4 linked regions of the Oryctolagus cuniculus genome follow. The protein of the gene in region 4 purifies or fractionates together with the protein of the main gene of each other region. This does not show direct contact. Links are inferred from orthologs where the notes say so. Each region holds a gene or a part of one and is shown on either strand. Other genes may lie near its edges.

What was found. The genes of interacting proteins can lie anywhere in the genome.
Region 1: the proteins of OTUD5 (region 4) and MAGED1 purify together in Homo sapiens (affinity purification with mass spectrometry, with the first as the bait; 3 studies listed by BioGRID). This does not show direct contact. The link is inferred for Oryctolagus cuniculus from reciprocal best matches to the Homo sapiens genes OTUD5 and MAGED1.
Region 2: the proteins of OTUD5 (region 4) and EEF2 purify together in Homo sapiens (affinity purification with mass spectrometry, with the first as the bait; 3 studies listed by BioGRID). This does not show direct contact. The link is inferred for Oryctolagus cuniculus from reciprocal best matches to the Homo sapiens genes OTUD5 and EEF2.
Region 3: the proteins of OTUD5 (region 4) and SERBP1 purify together in Homo sapiens (affinity purification with mass spectrometry, with the first as the bait; 3 studies listed by BioGRID). This does not show direct contact. The link is inferred for Oryctolagus cuniculus from reciprocal best matches to the Homo sapiens genes OTUD5 and SERBP1.

Annotation. Positions count from the first base shown.
Region 1 is NC_091453.1:36,330,554-36,334,118, reverse strand, and holds the end of MAGED1 (melanoma-associated antigen D1), read right to left. Parts: intron 3,541-3,565; coding exon 3,426-3,540; intron 1,351-3,425; coding exon 973-1,350; 3' UTR 965-972; intron 778-964; 3' UTR 568-777; downstream 1-567. UniProt on the Homo sapiens protein: Involved in the apoptotic response after nerve growth factor (NGF) binding in neuronal cells. Inhibits cell cycle progression, and facilitates NGFR-mediated apoptosis. May act as a regulator of the function of DLX family members.
Region 2 is NC_091447.1:59,308,222-59,310,673, reverse strand, and holds part of EEF2 (elongation factor 2), read right to left. Parts: intron 2,045-2,452; exon of another isoform or gene 1,980-2,044; intron 1,907-1,979; coding exon 1,728-1,906; intron 1,640-1,727; coding exon 1,534-1,639; intron 1,432-1,533; coding exon 1,318-1,431; intron 1,214-1,317; coding exon 879-1,213; intron 749-878; coding exon 490-748; intron 274-489; coding exon 166-273; intron 1-165. UniProt on the Homo sapiens protein: Catalyzes the GTP-dependent ribosomal translocation step during translation elongation.
Region 3 is NC_091438.1:105,138,147-105,141,715, forward strand, and holds part of SERBP1 (SERPINE1 mRNA-binding protein 1), read left to right. Parts: intron 1-1,434; coding exon 1,435-1,585; intron 1,586-2,420; coding exon 2,421-2,561; intron 2,562-2,672; coding exon 2,673-2,762; intron 2,763-3,276; coding exon 3,277-3,396; intron 3,397-3,569. UniProt on the Homo sapiens protein: Ribosome-binding protein that promotes ribosome hibernation, a process during which ribosomes are stabilized in an inactive state and preserved from proteasomal degradation.
Region 4 is NC_091453.1:34,099,622-34,103,190, forward strand, and holds part of OTUD5 (OTU domain-containing protein 5), read right to left. Parts: intron 2,845-3,569; coding exon 2,641-2,844; intron 1,021-2,640; coding exon 819-1,020; intron 724-818; coding exon 610-723; intron 308-609; coding exon 183-307; 3' UTR 1-182. UniProt on the Homo sapiens protein: Deubiquitinating enzyme that functions as a negative regulator of the innate immune system. Has peptidase activity towards 'Lys-48'- and 'Lys-63'-linked polyubiquitin chains. Can also cleave 'Lys-11'-linked ubiquitin chains (in vitro).

The sequences.
Region 1 (3,565 bases), about 2.2 Mb from region 4:
GAGATGGGAGGAGTGCCTAGGAGCCCATCCTTTCATGGGAGATGTGGCTAGGGGTGCATGTTCCTTCTCACAGAACAGACTTTGGCACCTACTCTTGCTTCCAACCTGAAGTTTTTTCATTTTCCACAGTAAAATCAACAGTCCAGAATCCCAGGCCCCTGACCCTTCATTCTCCAGGAACAGCCATCTCTCCTCTTCAACTATCCATTCCTTACACCTTATCACATGTAGTTAGTTCTACCTCCTCTGTCTTGTCTTAAATCAAGCCTTCTGACCACCTAGACATCCCTTCATTTTATGATTTCTCTCAGTGTTACTTCAGGACATTCAGCAACATATCTATCATATGATTCACTTAAATGATGCTCACTGAAAAACTACACTAATTTGTAGGCCTTATTAACACTTCATTAATTCCTCTTTTTTTCCCCAATCCATTAGCTTGATCTACCCACATCTCTGCTGAAATCTGATCCACCCTTCAGGCTATAACTAAGGTTCCACCTCTCTCATTAAATATGCTGATCTCTCCCCAAACACAGAAAGAAAAAGGGGGAGCACATCTAATTCACTTTGCAATTTCAATGTTTATTTCTGATACCAAAACTTGACAGCACACAAGGAAAAAAAGCAATAGACAAGGAACAGCAAATAAATTTATCTTGCATGCCACTTTCAGTCAACAGGATGTGGCTCTCTAGATAGCTGTGTTTTAGAAGGAATCTGAGACTTCAGCCTCAATTCAGGGGAAAGACTATTGCAACCGATGAGCAATATCTGTGAATATAAGAAAGAAAAAGTGGAAAAATCAATGATATGTATCTCAAATAATAAGGAATATAAATGCCAAATAGTGCTGCCCTACAATTCCCTCATTTCCTCATCACAAATTTCCTGACTCCTAGCTCATGCACATAATTATAACCCCCAAGGACTCTATCAATTCAAAAAGAGAAATACCTACCAAACAGTTTATTCAACCCAGAAGAATCCAATGGCACCAAAATTGGCAGCAAAGTTGGCACTGGCTGTGCCACCAGGACCAATGATGGGGCCAGCAAAGGTTTGAGGAAATCTGGAGCGGGCATTCTGGTGGTATCTGGCCCAGAAAGTAAATGGAATCCTGGACCAGGGATCTCCAAAATCTCCTTCCTCATCCCAGGTCAGCAGCTCAAATTCAATGTCATCCCAGCTCCAGGGCCCAGATACAGCTTCATCTCCAATCCCCATGCGGGTTCTTGCTTCAGCCCGGGCTTCGGCCTCAGCTGCAGCAGCATCCAAAGCATCCAAGGCCTCATCTGCGGCCTCCATAAACTGTGCAGTCCAGTCACGAGGGTCTCTTTTCTGAACCTGAGATGAGGAACAGAAAACAGAATCACACCTATTTACAATGACTAAGATACAGAATCAACCTAAGCGTCCATCAATGGATGACTTGATAATGAAGGTGTATATTTAAAAGATAATACTATACAGCCTTTAAAAGGAAGAAATCCTGCTATTTGTGGCAGCATGGATGAACCTAGAGGCCATTATGTTAAAGTGAAATAAGATACAAAAAGGCAAATACTGCACGATCTCACTTATAGGTAGAATCTGAAAGAACCGAACTCTTAAAAGCACAAAGTGTAACAGTCACCAGAGATTGTGGAGGTGGGGAGACTGGAAGAAGGAGACACTGGTTAAAACATGCAAAATTTAACTTAGGATGAATAATGTCTAACACATGATTACTATAGTTAATGACAATGTATTGCATACTTGAAAATTGCTGAGTACATTTTAAATCTTGTCATCATAAAAATGCTAAGTATGTGATCTGGACAGCTAATCAGCTTCATTTAATCATTACATAATGTACACATATTACATACACATACTCCATAATCTATAAAAATTACCAAAATACCACCTTGTATTCCAAAAATGTTAAATTTGATTAAGTGAAAAAAAACAAAAAAACACTTAAAGATAATGTTGTACATTATATACATTATGTCAACAAAACTGTAATAAAGTTGGAAAATTAATGAATAAAAATATTAAAAATCCAACCCTTAACAGTATTAGTTAATATATACGAGGGTATTTAAAAATGCTCATGAAAAAATGGAATTAAGAGGTAAGTTTAGGGGGCAGCATTGTGGTGTAGCAGGTAAAGTTGCTGCCTGCAATGCCAGCATCCCATATGGCTGCTTATTCAAGATCCAGATGCTGGACTTCCAATCTAGCTCCCTGCTAATGTGCCTGGGAAAGCAGTGAAAGACAGTCCAAGTGCTTGAGCCCCTGCACCCACATGGGAGACCTGGAAGAAGCTCTTGACTCCTGGCTTCAGCCTGGCCCAGCCCTGGCCACTGCAGCCATTTGGGGAGTGAACCAGTGGATGGAAAATCTCTCTGTCTCTTCCTCTCTCTGTGTGTAACTCTGACTTTCAAACAAAAAAAAAGAGAAAGATAAGTTTAGGTGCTGGCATTCTGGCACAGCAGGTTAAGCCACCACTTGTGATGCCAGTATCTGATATCAGAGTGCTGATTTGAGTCCAATCCAGCTCCCTGCTAACGTGCCTGGAAGACAATAAAGATGGTCCAAGTTCCTGGGCCCCTGCCACCCTTGTAGAAGACCTGGATGGAGTTCCTGGCTCCTAGTGTCAGCCTAGCCCAGGTCTCACTGTTGCAGCTCTTAGGATAATGAACCAGCAGACAGGAAATATTCTCTCTCTCTCTCTCTCCCCCTTTCTGTCACTCTACCTTTCAAATAAAGTCTTTTAAAAAGAGAGTGATAACTTTAGGGGCAAAAGCTGTGGCTTAGTGAGTTAAGCCATCACTTAGGAAGCCCTGAACCAACTTTCTGCTAATGCATCCTGGAAGCAGCAGATGATGGTTCAAGTGTATGGGCTCCAGACACCCACATAAGAGAGTCAGACGCGGCTTCTGGCTTCCAGCCTTGGCATGACCCAGCCCTGGCTGTTGTGGGCATTAAGGGAGTGAACCAGTAGATGGAAGATCTCTCTTTTTTTCACTCTGTCTTTCAAGTACATGGAAATAATAAATAAAGAAGCATTTTTAAAGAGAGGTAAGTTAATTTTGGTAAAAATTTTTTAAATCCAGTTTTTCTGTAATTCTCATTTTTCATGAACTTTTTGAAGATCCCTCGTTATACATGGTATTCAAAACCTTTCTGCACCAAAACAAACATATTTTAATTCCATCTTCCACCCATTTTTGAAATACCATTGTATTAAGCACCTAATACATATTAAGCCCCCTATTTTTTGTTATTGCTTATATAAAAACAACAATAAATTATCACCAGTAATGCAGCACCTACCATGTGCCATACGAGGATCTCATTCCTGTTCTTGGCCTCTCCCAACCACTGATACCTCATCTCTTGACCTATCAATTCTAGAGCAGTTCCTCCATTACCTCTGCAATGAATCTCAGCACTTTCATCTTGCTAGTCTCATGATAGGAACGGAGGCCCCAGAGGAACTCATACTCAGGAGGGTTGCTGTTGGGCACTCGTCTGTAGTCCAGGTATCTGAAAGAGCACAAAATGTCTTTGT
Region 2 (2,452 bases), on a different chromosome or scaffold from region 4:
GGGAGGACAGGGCAGGGGGGACAGGGGCGGGGAGGACAGGGCGGGGGAGGACAGGGGCGGGGGGGGGACAGGGGTGGGGGAGGGCAGGGCGGGGGGGGGGACAGGGGCGGGGGAGGACAGGGGCGGGCATGGACAGGGCAGGGAGGACGGGGCGCGGCCCCGCACCTTGATGGGGATGCAGGCGTGGTCCTCCTCCAGGTCCTTGAGGCAGATCTCCAGGTGCAGCTCGCCGGCGCCCGCGATGATGTGCTCACCCGACTCCTCGATGATGCACTGCGGGCAGGGGCTCGGCACGTCAGCCGGCCCGGAGCCCCCTCCCCGCTCAGCCAGCCCGGAGCCCCCTCCCCGCTCAGCCAGCCCGGAGCCCCCTCCCCGCTCAGCCAGCCCGGAGCCCCCTCCCCGCTCAGCCAGCCCTGAGCCCCCTCCCCGCTCGGCCAGCCCGGAGCCCCCTCCCCCCGGCCCCGCCGCCCGCCCGGCCCCGCCGCCCACCTGCACCATGGGGTCCGACTTGGCCAGCCGCTTCAGGCCCTCCACCAGCTTGGGCAGGTCGGCCGGGTTCTTGGCCTCCACGGCCACGCGCACCACGGGGCTCACGCTGAACTTCATCACCCGCATGTTGTGGGCGTGCTCGAAGGTGGTGATGGTGCCCGTCTTCACCAGGAACTGGTCCACGCCCACCAGGCCCACGATGTTGCCGCACGGCACGTCCTCGATGGGCTCCACGTAGCGGCCCATCATCAGGATGGTCCTGGGCAGGCCGGGCGCAGCCCGTCAGCGCGGCGGCACCCGGACACACAGCACCGCCCACCCGCGCCCCTGCAGGCCAGCCCCGGCCACTGCGCGGCGGGCTCACTGGCCGCCACCGCCCGGGCGCTCACCTCTGGATCGGCTTCAGGTACAGGTCCTCCTTCTTGCCGGGCGTGTAGTTGGGGCCCATGATCCTGACCTTGAGGCCGGTGGACACCAGCCCCGAGAACACGCGGCCGAAGGCGTAGAAGCGGCCCTTGTCGGAGGTGGGCACCATCTTGGAGATGTACATCATGAGGGGCCCCTTGGGGTCGCAGCTCTTGATGCCCATGGCGGCCTCGTCGTCGGGCGGCCCCTCGTACAGCAGCTCGCAGCGGTACTTCTGGGCCGTGACGGGCGAGGGCAGGTGGATGGTGATCATCTGCAGCAGCGCGTCCCCGGCCGGCAGCCAGCGGCGCATCACAGCCTGCGGAGGGCGGCGCAGGGCTCAGGGCCCGCCGGGCGGCTCCCTGTCCCCTCCTTCCCTGCCCCTCCGTGGGGCGCCCTGCGGGGCCCTGGCGGGCCGCCCACCTTCAGCAGCGGCTTGCCCTCCTTGTCCTTGTCCTCGCTGTCCAGCTTGATGTCCAGCTTCTCGATCAGCTTCGCCGTCTCCTCCTTCTTGAAGTTCATGATGGCGTCGAACACCTGCGGCCGGCGACACCGCGCCGTGAGCCCAGCGCCGGGAGGGGGCCCGCATGCCGCTCCAAACCCAAGCCCTGGGCCCCCCCAGCCCCCGGCCCCGCCCACCTTGAAGATGGGGTCCAGGATGAGCTGGCAAAAGGTGCGCGGCAGCTTCTTGCCGTCGGGGCTGGTGGCCGACTTGCTGAACTTGCCGTTGGACGGGTCGAAGTACCTGGAGCGGGGGCAGGGGCGGGGGCCGTCAGGTCTCAGCCCTGCTGCTGCCTGCCCGCCCGCCCGCCGCCCCTCCGCCCCGCGCTCACCGGTCACCCCACAGCTTCTTCATCATGTCCTCCACCTTCTTGGCCCGCTCCGCCGGCCCCAGCTGGCCCTCGCCTTTGGCTGCGAACTTGGCCACGTACATCTCAGCAAACTGCTTCAGCGTGAAGGCCCAGCCGTGCAGGCCGGACCCGAAGCCCACGGTGCCCAGCACGGGGTCGATCTGGGGGAGCAGGGCGGCGCTGAGCGGCCGTGGACGCGGCCGCCGTGGGCCCCGCCCCGCCCTGGCACCCCGGCCTCAGACGCGGGCTGTCTTCACCAGAGATCAGGTCAAAGTGAAGAAGTCTCGGTCATCACGGGCTGCCGCCCCCGGCACGCACCATGATGTTGCCCATGGGCCCGCCCTCGCCCTCGGCCCGCCCCGCGGCACGCACCATGATGTTGCCCATGGGCCCGCCCTCGCCCTCACCCCCCCCCCGCCCCCAGCACGCACCATGATGTTGCCCATGGGCCCGCCCTCGCCCCCACCCGCCCCGCGGCACGCACCATGATGTTGCCCATGGGCCCGCCCTCGCCCTGGCCCCCCGGCTGCCCCGCGGCACGCACCATGATGTTGCCCATGGGCCCGCCCTCGCCCTCGCCCCCACCCGCCCCGCGGCACGCACCATGATGTTGCCCATGGGCCCGCCCTCACCCCCGGCCCGCCCCGCGGCACGCACCATGATGTTGCCCATGGGCCCGCCCTCACCCCCGGCCCGCCCCCAGCACG
Region 3 (3,569 bases), on a different chromosome or scaffold from region 4:
TTTTTTAAATAATAGTCTGGAATCTAGTGCAGTTAGTGGGCTTGCAGGTATGTATTAATGTATCAGAAGAAACTTTTTTTAAAAAAAAATACCAATTATTTCGCGTTAGATGAGCCTATTTAAATTTTTCTAGATCCTGCAAGATAGTATTGGGTGGGGAAGCAAGTTGTTAATTGGGTGCATTTGGCTTGGATAGCCTGGGAATTGGTTCTATAGCTCCACCCCAATACATTATGCCTCTGATGACATTTATTTAAGTGCCTCAGTGTAAGGTCTGACATTTGTGGTCTATTCTGAGAGTTTATAGGGAATGAACCTTAACATTTTAATAACCAGATTGATAATTTAGTGTTTGGTAACAGGCTGCTAAATGATTGGGTATGCCCTGATTGTGTTCCACTTTCTTAGAAAGAACCCAAGAGAAATAACTTCAGATTTTGTAAAACCAATTTCTTAACTGCTTTTTGACTTTGTCAGAAATTGTGGTTTGGTAATTTCAGCATACCTGAAATTTCAGTCATGAATTTAGCCATCAATCTGTTTATCCTAAGGTCACCAATAATTCATGTTGGTTTGGACTTAAGGCATTAACAGGAAAAAAAACAGTATGGGGGTAGGAAATCAGTAACTAATTCAGATATCTTCCATAGTTTCTGATAATACTGCTTCTGTGTATAAATGTGGTTTTATAAAGATTTTTTGAAAACAAACATACGTGTTAGAGTAAACCTAAAAACAGACTTTCTCCATTCATATTGATAAATAAGCTATTTTCCTAGTGGTTACATGAGAATTTTTTTTTTTAGCTAGGTGTCTAGTGTAGATGTTTGTGCACGCTTTTCATGTATTAGATATTTACAGAAGATAGTACTTTTCTGGTTAAATAACTATTTTAGATGGTGGATTTTTTTAAATAACATTAAATACCATTTGTTTTCCTTTCAGTGTGTAATTTCATAGAATTATGGGTCTTTTTACTCAATTTTTTTTCAGATTATATAGACTAAAATAGCACGACTTTTTTTTTGGTTGATTTAATTGGTTACTTATGAATGACTGTTGGTATTATTTTCTTTGATACTTTAAAGCCAAAATGTATCTCTGGTCTACAGTTTCTTTAAATTATCAATAGGCTGACATCTTGAAAAAGGTGAGGCGGAATGACTGCTCAAATGACTTCAAGACAGTTATAGAGAATGCTTTAATGTGGGAAGATAACTTGGCAAACTAAATAGAAGTTCACAACAAACTTTGTTTTTAAGAATTTCCCTAAAATACTTTGTTACACATTAGGAATGGTTGGTGTTTGCTTTTTCCAATGGGAAATGCTAGTTAGTGGACTGAAAAAGTAGCACTGTGGTTTTTGGATAGCCTAGGACTAAACTTTTTGTATTGCAGAGATAATTTGCTTATACAGGTTATCTAATGTTCTAGGAATAAGACGTGTTGGGAGAAGACCTGATCAACAGCTTCAAGGTGAAGGGAAAATAATTGATAGAAGACCAGAAAGGCGACCACCTCGTGAAAGAAGATTTGAAAAGCCACTAGAAGAAAAGGGTGAAGGAGGAGAGTTTTCAGTTGATAGGTAAGATTTCTTTTTTAGAAAAAGTCTTTTCATGCTTTGTCAATGCATAGTCCTATATTAACACAAAGCTGTCACTTGGGCATCATTGCCAGGTAGCAGAGAGGCTGATCGCATTTACCAGTTTCTGAGGTATCTGAGTATATTGTTATCCTCAGACCTTTGGATAACAGTCCAGACTTAGATTTCTAATGAGGCAGTTTCAGTTGAATTGATGGCCACTGTCATTTCTTTGCTCTCCCCAGATTTTGACTTAAAAGAAAAATGCTCTTTAAATAGTAAAAAAGGTTATTCATTCTGCAGGTTAGTTGTGCTTAATTTAGTTTTTAAATGTATTGGAGAATAATCGTGTTACTTGATTATAATCAGTGAATAATAGTGAAAACTAGTAGTTATGCACTAGTAGTAATGCTTTGGAGCAGGGGTCGGGAATGGCCAACTTTTGGGCTGTGTGAAGTGTAAGAAATTATTCGGTTTGGTCTTGCCAAGGCAACTGCAAGTGGGACTTGAAATTCAGGAACTTTTGCAGGCTAATTTTTTTAAGTTGATAATTTTGTATGACCTGAGAGTGATGTTATAAACATACAAAAGGCCCTTGGCAGAAAAAAAGGTTCCCTACCCCTGTGAGGATTCCAAAAACAGTTTTCTTCTGAGAATGGGAGCTTCCTGGTTCTGATTTCCTTTATGTGTTTAGAAATAGACTAGAATTTTCTAAAGCATGTCTTTAACTGATGATTTATGAGCCAGTAAATATGTGTTTTTGAGTGCTTGAATAGATTTCTCTTACTCCTTTTTTTGGAAACCATGGAAATCTAAATTTTTAAATTTTGTATTGTAGGCCTATAATTGACCGACCTATCCGAGGCCGTGGTGGTCTAGGAAGAGGTCGAGGAGGCCGTGGACGTGGAATGGGCCGAGGAGATGGATTTGATTCTCGTGGCAAACGTGAATTTGACAGGCATAGTGGAAGTGATAGATCGTAAGTCTTAGATTGGTTTTTATTTTATGTTTATATTTTAATGCATTTATTTAATAAACAAAATTTGAATTTCTAGAACTAAAGAGTATTATGTTAACTCAGTTTTGTTAGTTCTTTTTCACATTACAGTGGTCTGAAGCACGAGGACAAACGTGGAGGTAGCGGATCTCACAACTGGGGAACTGTCAAAGATGAATTAACGTTGGTATTCCGATTTTTTTAATAAAATTGATCCTAAACTAATCTAGAGTCTTAACCTATACATTTATTAAATTTTGTTCCTGGAACAAGAATGGATGTTCTTATTTCAGAGATATTGTCTTAAAAGACAATGCCTTATGGGATAGATTTGGGTTACAGTATATCAAATGAGCAATTATTCTATACTTCTGTATACTTGTATATGTTACTAATTTTTTTTCATGTGAATATAAAGCTTTTCTTGATATTTTACATTGAAGTTACTTGAGGATTCTAATGATTTCCTTTGTGTCTGTAATAGTTACTTTTCCAGCTGCTTACATTCTGGTTCTTGTTAACTTGTGAATAAGCCTGTGAATCACCAGTAGTTGATGTTGTTTTCTCTTAGAGCTGTACTGGGGAATAAATTTAGTAGGAAAAGACAAAAGATTATGAAGTTTTTAATTGTTACGAAGAACTCTTTGGCTACACGTAAATGGATCTAGATGCTTTTCTTTTTCTTTTCTTTCCTTAGAGAGTCCCCAAAATACATTCAGAAACAAATATCTTATAATTGCAGTGACTTGGATCAATCAAATGTGACTGAGGAAACACCTGAAGGTGAAGAACATCCAGTGGCAGACACTGAAAATAAGTAAGTGGTTTTGATGTAGCAGTGATGCTTCAGCAGTGAACACAGTTTGGGATTTTACTAGTAAGATGTCATTGACTTCATGTGATTTGATGCATTTTTGACAAGAGACTTATTCAAGTACTGTTTAGAAGGCTGCTTCACACATATATACATTTGTCATTAATGGCTTGGAA
Region 4 (3,569 bases):
CAGAGACAGGTGGTGGTGGCAGCAATGAGAGGAAGCGCATAGGGTCAGCCAGAGGGAAGTGGGGAGGAGGGAGAGGGAAAAGGGGAAGGAGGCAAGAGGGAAGAAAGCCAAAGAAGGCGGGGTGGCACCGGAGGGCAGGAGTTGGGGGGGGTTCGGAGATGGTTCCAGTCCCTGGGTCTCGATCAGCTCTTGTCCGGGGGTGGGTCTCTGTGCACTTTGTTTTTCTTCATACTGTCTAGGTATTCCTGTTGGGACACTGCCAGCACCGAAGCTAGGATCTCATCATCATCCCAGTCATTCAGACCTGCTGGGCAAAAAGAGGAGGAAATGCATTATGAGGCACCCTCAGCCTGCCTTCTCCTCACCTGTGGCTAATCCCCCGGCTCTCCTATTCAGGCTCCTCTCACTCCTTTCTCTATGGAAAAGGCTCCCCTGGGCCTGTGAAATCCCACTTAGCCCCCTTTTGGGACAAATCCCCTAAGCTGAAAAAAAATTCTCTATTATGCCATCTCACTTCTTTACTTGGGGAGACAGCCAGAGGCTCCAGAAGTTCCCTCTTCCAGTCTCCCCCCAATTCCCAGCTGGCCCCTGTCCCCAGAGGAAGCTTACCAAAGGCAGAGGGGGACATCTGCTGAATGAGAGCCCGGCATTCCAGAGCAGGATAGAGGGACACGAGGGGGGAAGTGGCCCGGTCGGCCCCTGCAGAGAACTGACTGCTTGTACCTAGGGCAAATGGACAGTCAGAGGTAGGGCCCAAGGCCCAGGTCCCAGGCAGTGCCTTCTGACCCCAGCATGTGCCCTATAAGCAAGTCACTGACCTGGTGCGCAGGGTGAAGGAGGTTTGGCAAGAGCTAAGACAGTGCCTGGGGAAGGGGGTTTGATGCCTAGCTCGGCGTGCAGCTCAGGGTGCTCGGGGGATGAGGCCGAACTCCGCTGCCGCGGGGACCGACTGGTCCACTCCTCCAGGCCACTGGAGGCTGCTGCTGTGGCTGAACTGCACGTGGCGCTCGCTTTCCGGGGCTGTAGCAGGGGAGGAAGAGCAGTAAGGACTAACACTAGCCAGGACTCTCCTGTGCCCCAGCCCTGAGCGCTCATGCCCTTCCCGGGCCCCTGGCTATGATCAGCTTCCATGCAGGCCTCTGTTAATCCTTTCTCATACCATTACAGCTGTGACAGACAATGACAGGAAATCCGGTTACCTCTACCTTCAAAACAGACCCCAAATCCAATCCCTTTCCCCACCACCCCTACCAGCAGGGTCACTGGTCACCTAGTCTAGTTCAGTAGCCTTCTTCCTCGTTCCCTCCTTCACCCCTCACACTCTATTCGCCATTCGGCAGTCAGGGGGATCCTGTCAAATCCCAAATCAGGTCCTTCCTCTGTTCACGACACTCCCATACATCTCCCTCACTCAAGGTAAAAGCCAAAGTCCTGGGAAGGGTATTGTGAGGCAGCAGGTAAGGCCGCCACTTAGGATGCCTACATCCCATATCGGAGTGCCAGTTCAAGTCCCGGCTACTTGGCTTCTGATACAGCATTACTGCTGACACATCCTGGGAGGCAGAAGAGAATGGCTTAAGTGCTTGGGCCCCTGCACCCATGTAGGAGACCTGGATGGAGTTCTGGGCCCCTCGCTTCCACCTGGCCCAGCCCAGGCTGCTGCAGGCATGCGGGAGTGAACCAGCCTATGGAAGGTCTCTCTCTGTCCCTCTGCCTTTCAAGTAGGTGAAAACAAACAAACGCCAAAGACCTCACCACAGCCCACAAGCCTCTATCCCAGCTGGCCCCACCCCTCCCTCACTTCACCTACTACCACATTTTATTCAGTTACACTGGCCTCCCTCCAGGCTGTGCCTGAATCCCAGGCCCTGCCATTCCCTGCATATGTGCTCAGCTCACTCTTCTGCAAGTCTCTGCTCAAGCCTCATCTGCTCTGAGGCCTACCTTGACCACACCCTTTAGTACTGTGAACTCCCATCCCCTCCACCCTGGCTCTACATTTCTCATCCACAGCACCTCTCAACTGATTTATTCATTCTAGTCTTCTTCATTTTGTTTCACTCTGCACGAATGCAAACATCATAAGGACAGGGATCTTGGCCTGCCACATTCACCAAAGTGTCCCGAGAACAGTGCCTAGCACAGGCTTGCAACAAGTATTTGAACAATCGCCAACATCCAGTCACTCCAAATTCCTTGTGATTCTTCAGATGCCTGTCTGCTGTGCCCTAACTATTCAATCTTCCTCTATGAAGATTGACCAGAGCCCCCACCTCCACTGGGCTCCCAGCCAGGGTCACAGGCCCCACCGGTGATTCTGTCTCCCTCAGTAGATGGGATCACTAAGGACAGTGCAGGCTGCCTCTGGCACTCAAGGGCATCCAACAGAAGCTTGTCTCTCTGCAGCTATCCACCATGCACCCATGTCACTAGAACCAGTGACTACCCTCCTTTGCTCCTTGAAGCGAGTGTTGCCCACATGGTTACAGAGTTCAAAGGCAAAATGCCAAGATTAAGACCAAGATGAGCTATAGATGGGACTGAAAACTTCCTTCCCTTATGGAAGTCAAACCGCTTACTACTATTCAGTTTGGAGCAAAACATGGAAGGGCCAGATCAGTGACAGAGCCCATTACGAACCTGGCTGGGGCCGCGGACCTGGCGGGCCTGTTTCTCCTGATCTCGCAGCCACTGAAGGTAGGATTCCCTAGCTACTTGCTCCTCAATGGCCTCATTTGTGGCCTCCCAGTCTGTAGCACGTTTCTTGTCTTCCAGCATCTGCTGTTCAATCCATGACTCCTCCGATGTCTTTATGGCATTCTTCATCAGGGACTGCTCTGCAAACTGCAAGGGGGAGAGGAACAGGCATGTGGGGCCAAGAGCCAAAATGGGCTCAGGGAGACAGGGGCCCAGGCTTTGCAAAAAAGACCTGAAGACAGGTGCTCCCACATAGCACCCTTGTAGATGCCTATTTATCAGTGACTAGGGGAAAAGTAGGCTTGGGTTGTGGGGCCTGTTATTCCAAAATCCTATGCTCCCATGTCCTGACCCCACCCCAATGGAGGCACTAAGTCTGGGGTGGCCAGGTGCCCTCTAGCCTAGGCCTAAAGGAAAAGCAGTCCCATTCAGTTTCACGCTGCTGAGGTGGGTCTCCCTCACACGTGCCCAGATGAGACAAAGAGAAAAAGACCATCCAAGAAGTGAGCAGTGTTGGCGCACAGTGGAGGGGGTATTCAAGGAAGCCAGGTGGCTATGTGAGGCAATGAGGGGCAGTACCACTGTGCTGTGCGCGACTGTGAGCTTTCACGCACTCTGAGAGTACTGCTTGTTAGGCTGTGAGCATGTCAAAAAATTAATAAACAACAGGAAACATCAGAGTATATCCCAGGGAACAAGTATAAATAGTTTCTTTTGAAGCCTTAGCTAACATTATTTTAATGCACACAGACTACACACAAACATGTGCGTGTCAAGTGATGATGGAAAGTATAACCTTTTTCCTGTGGACAATAATTTTAATGGAGTTTTAGAAAAAGCCAATTAAAAGGGGGCAGAAAAAAATCTAAAAA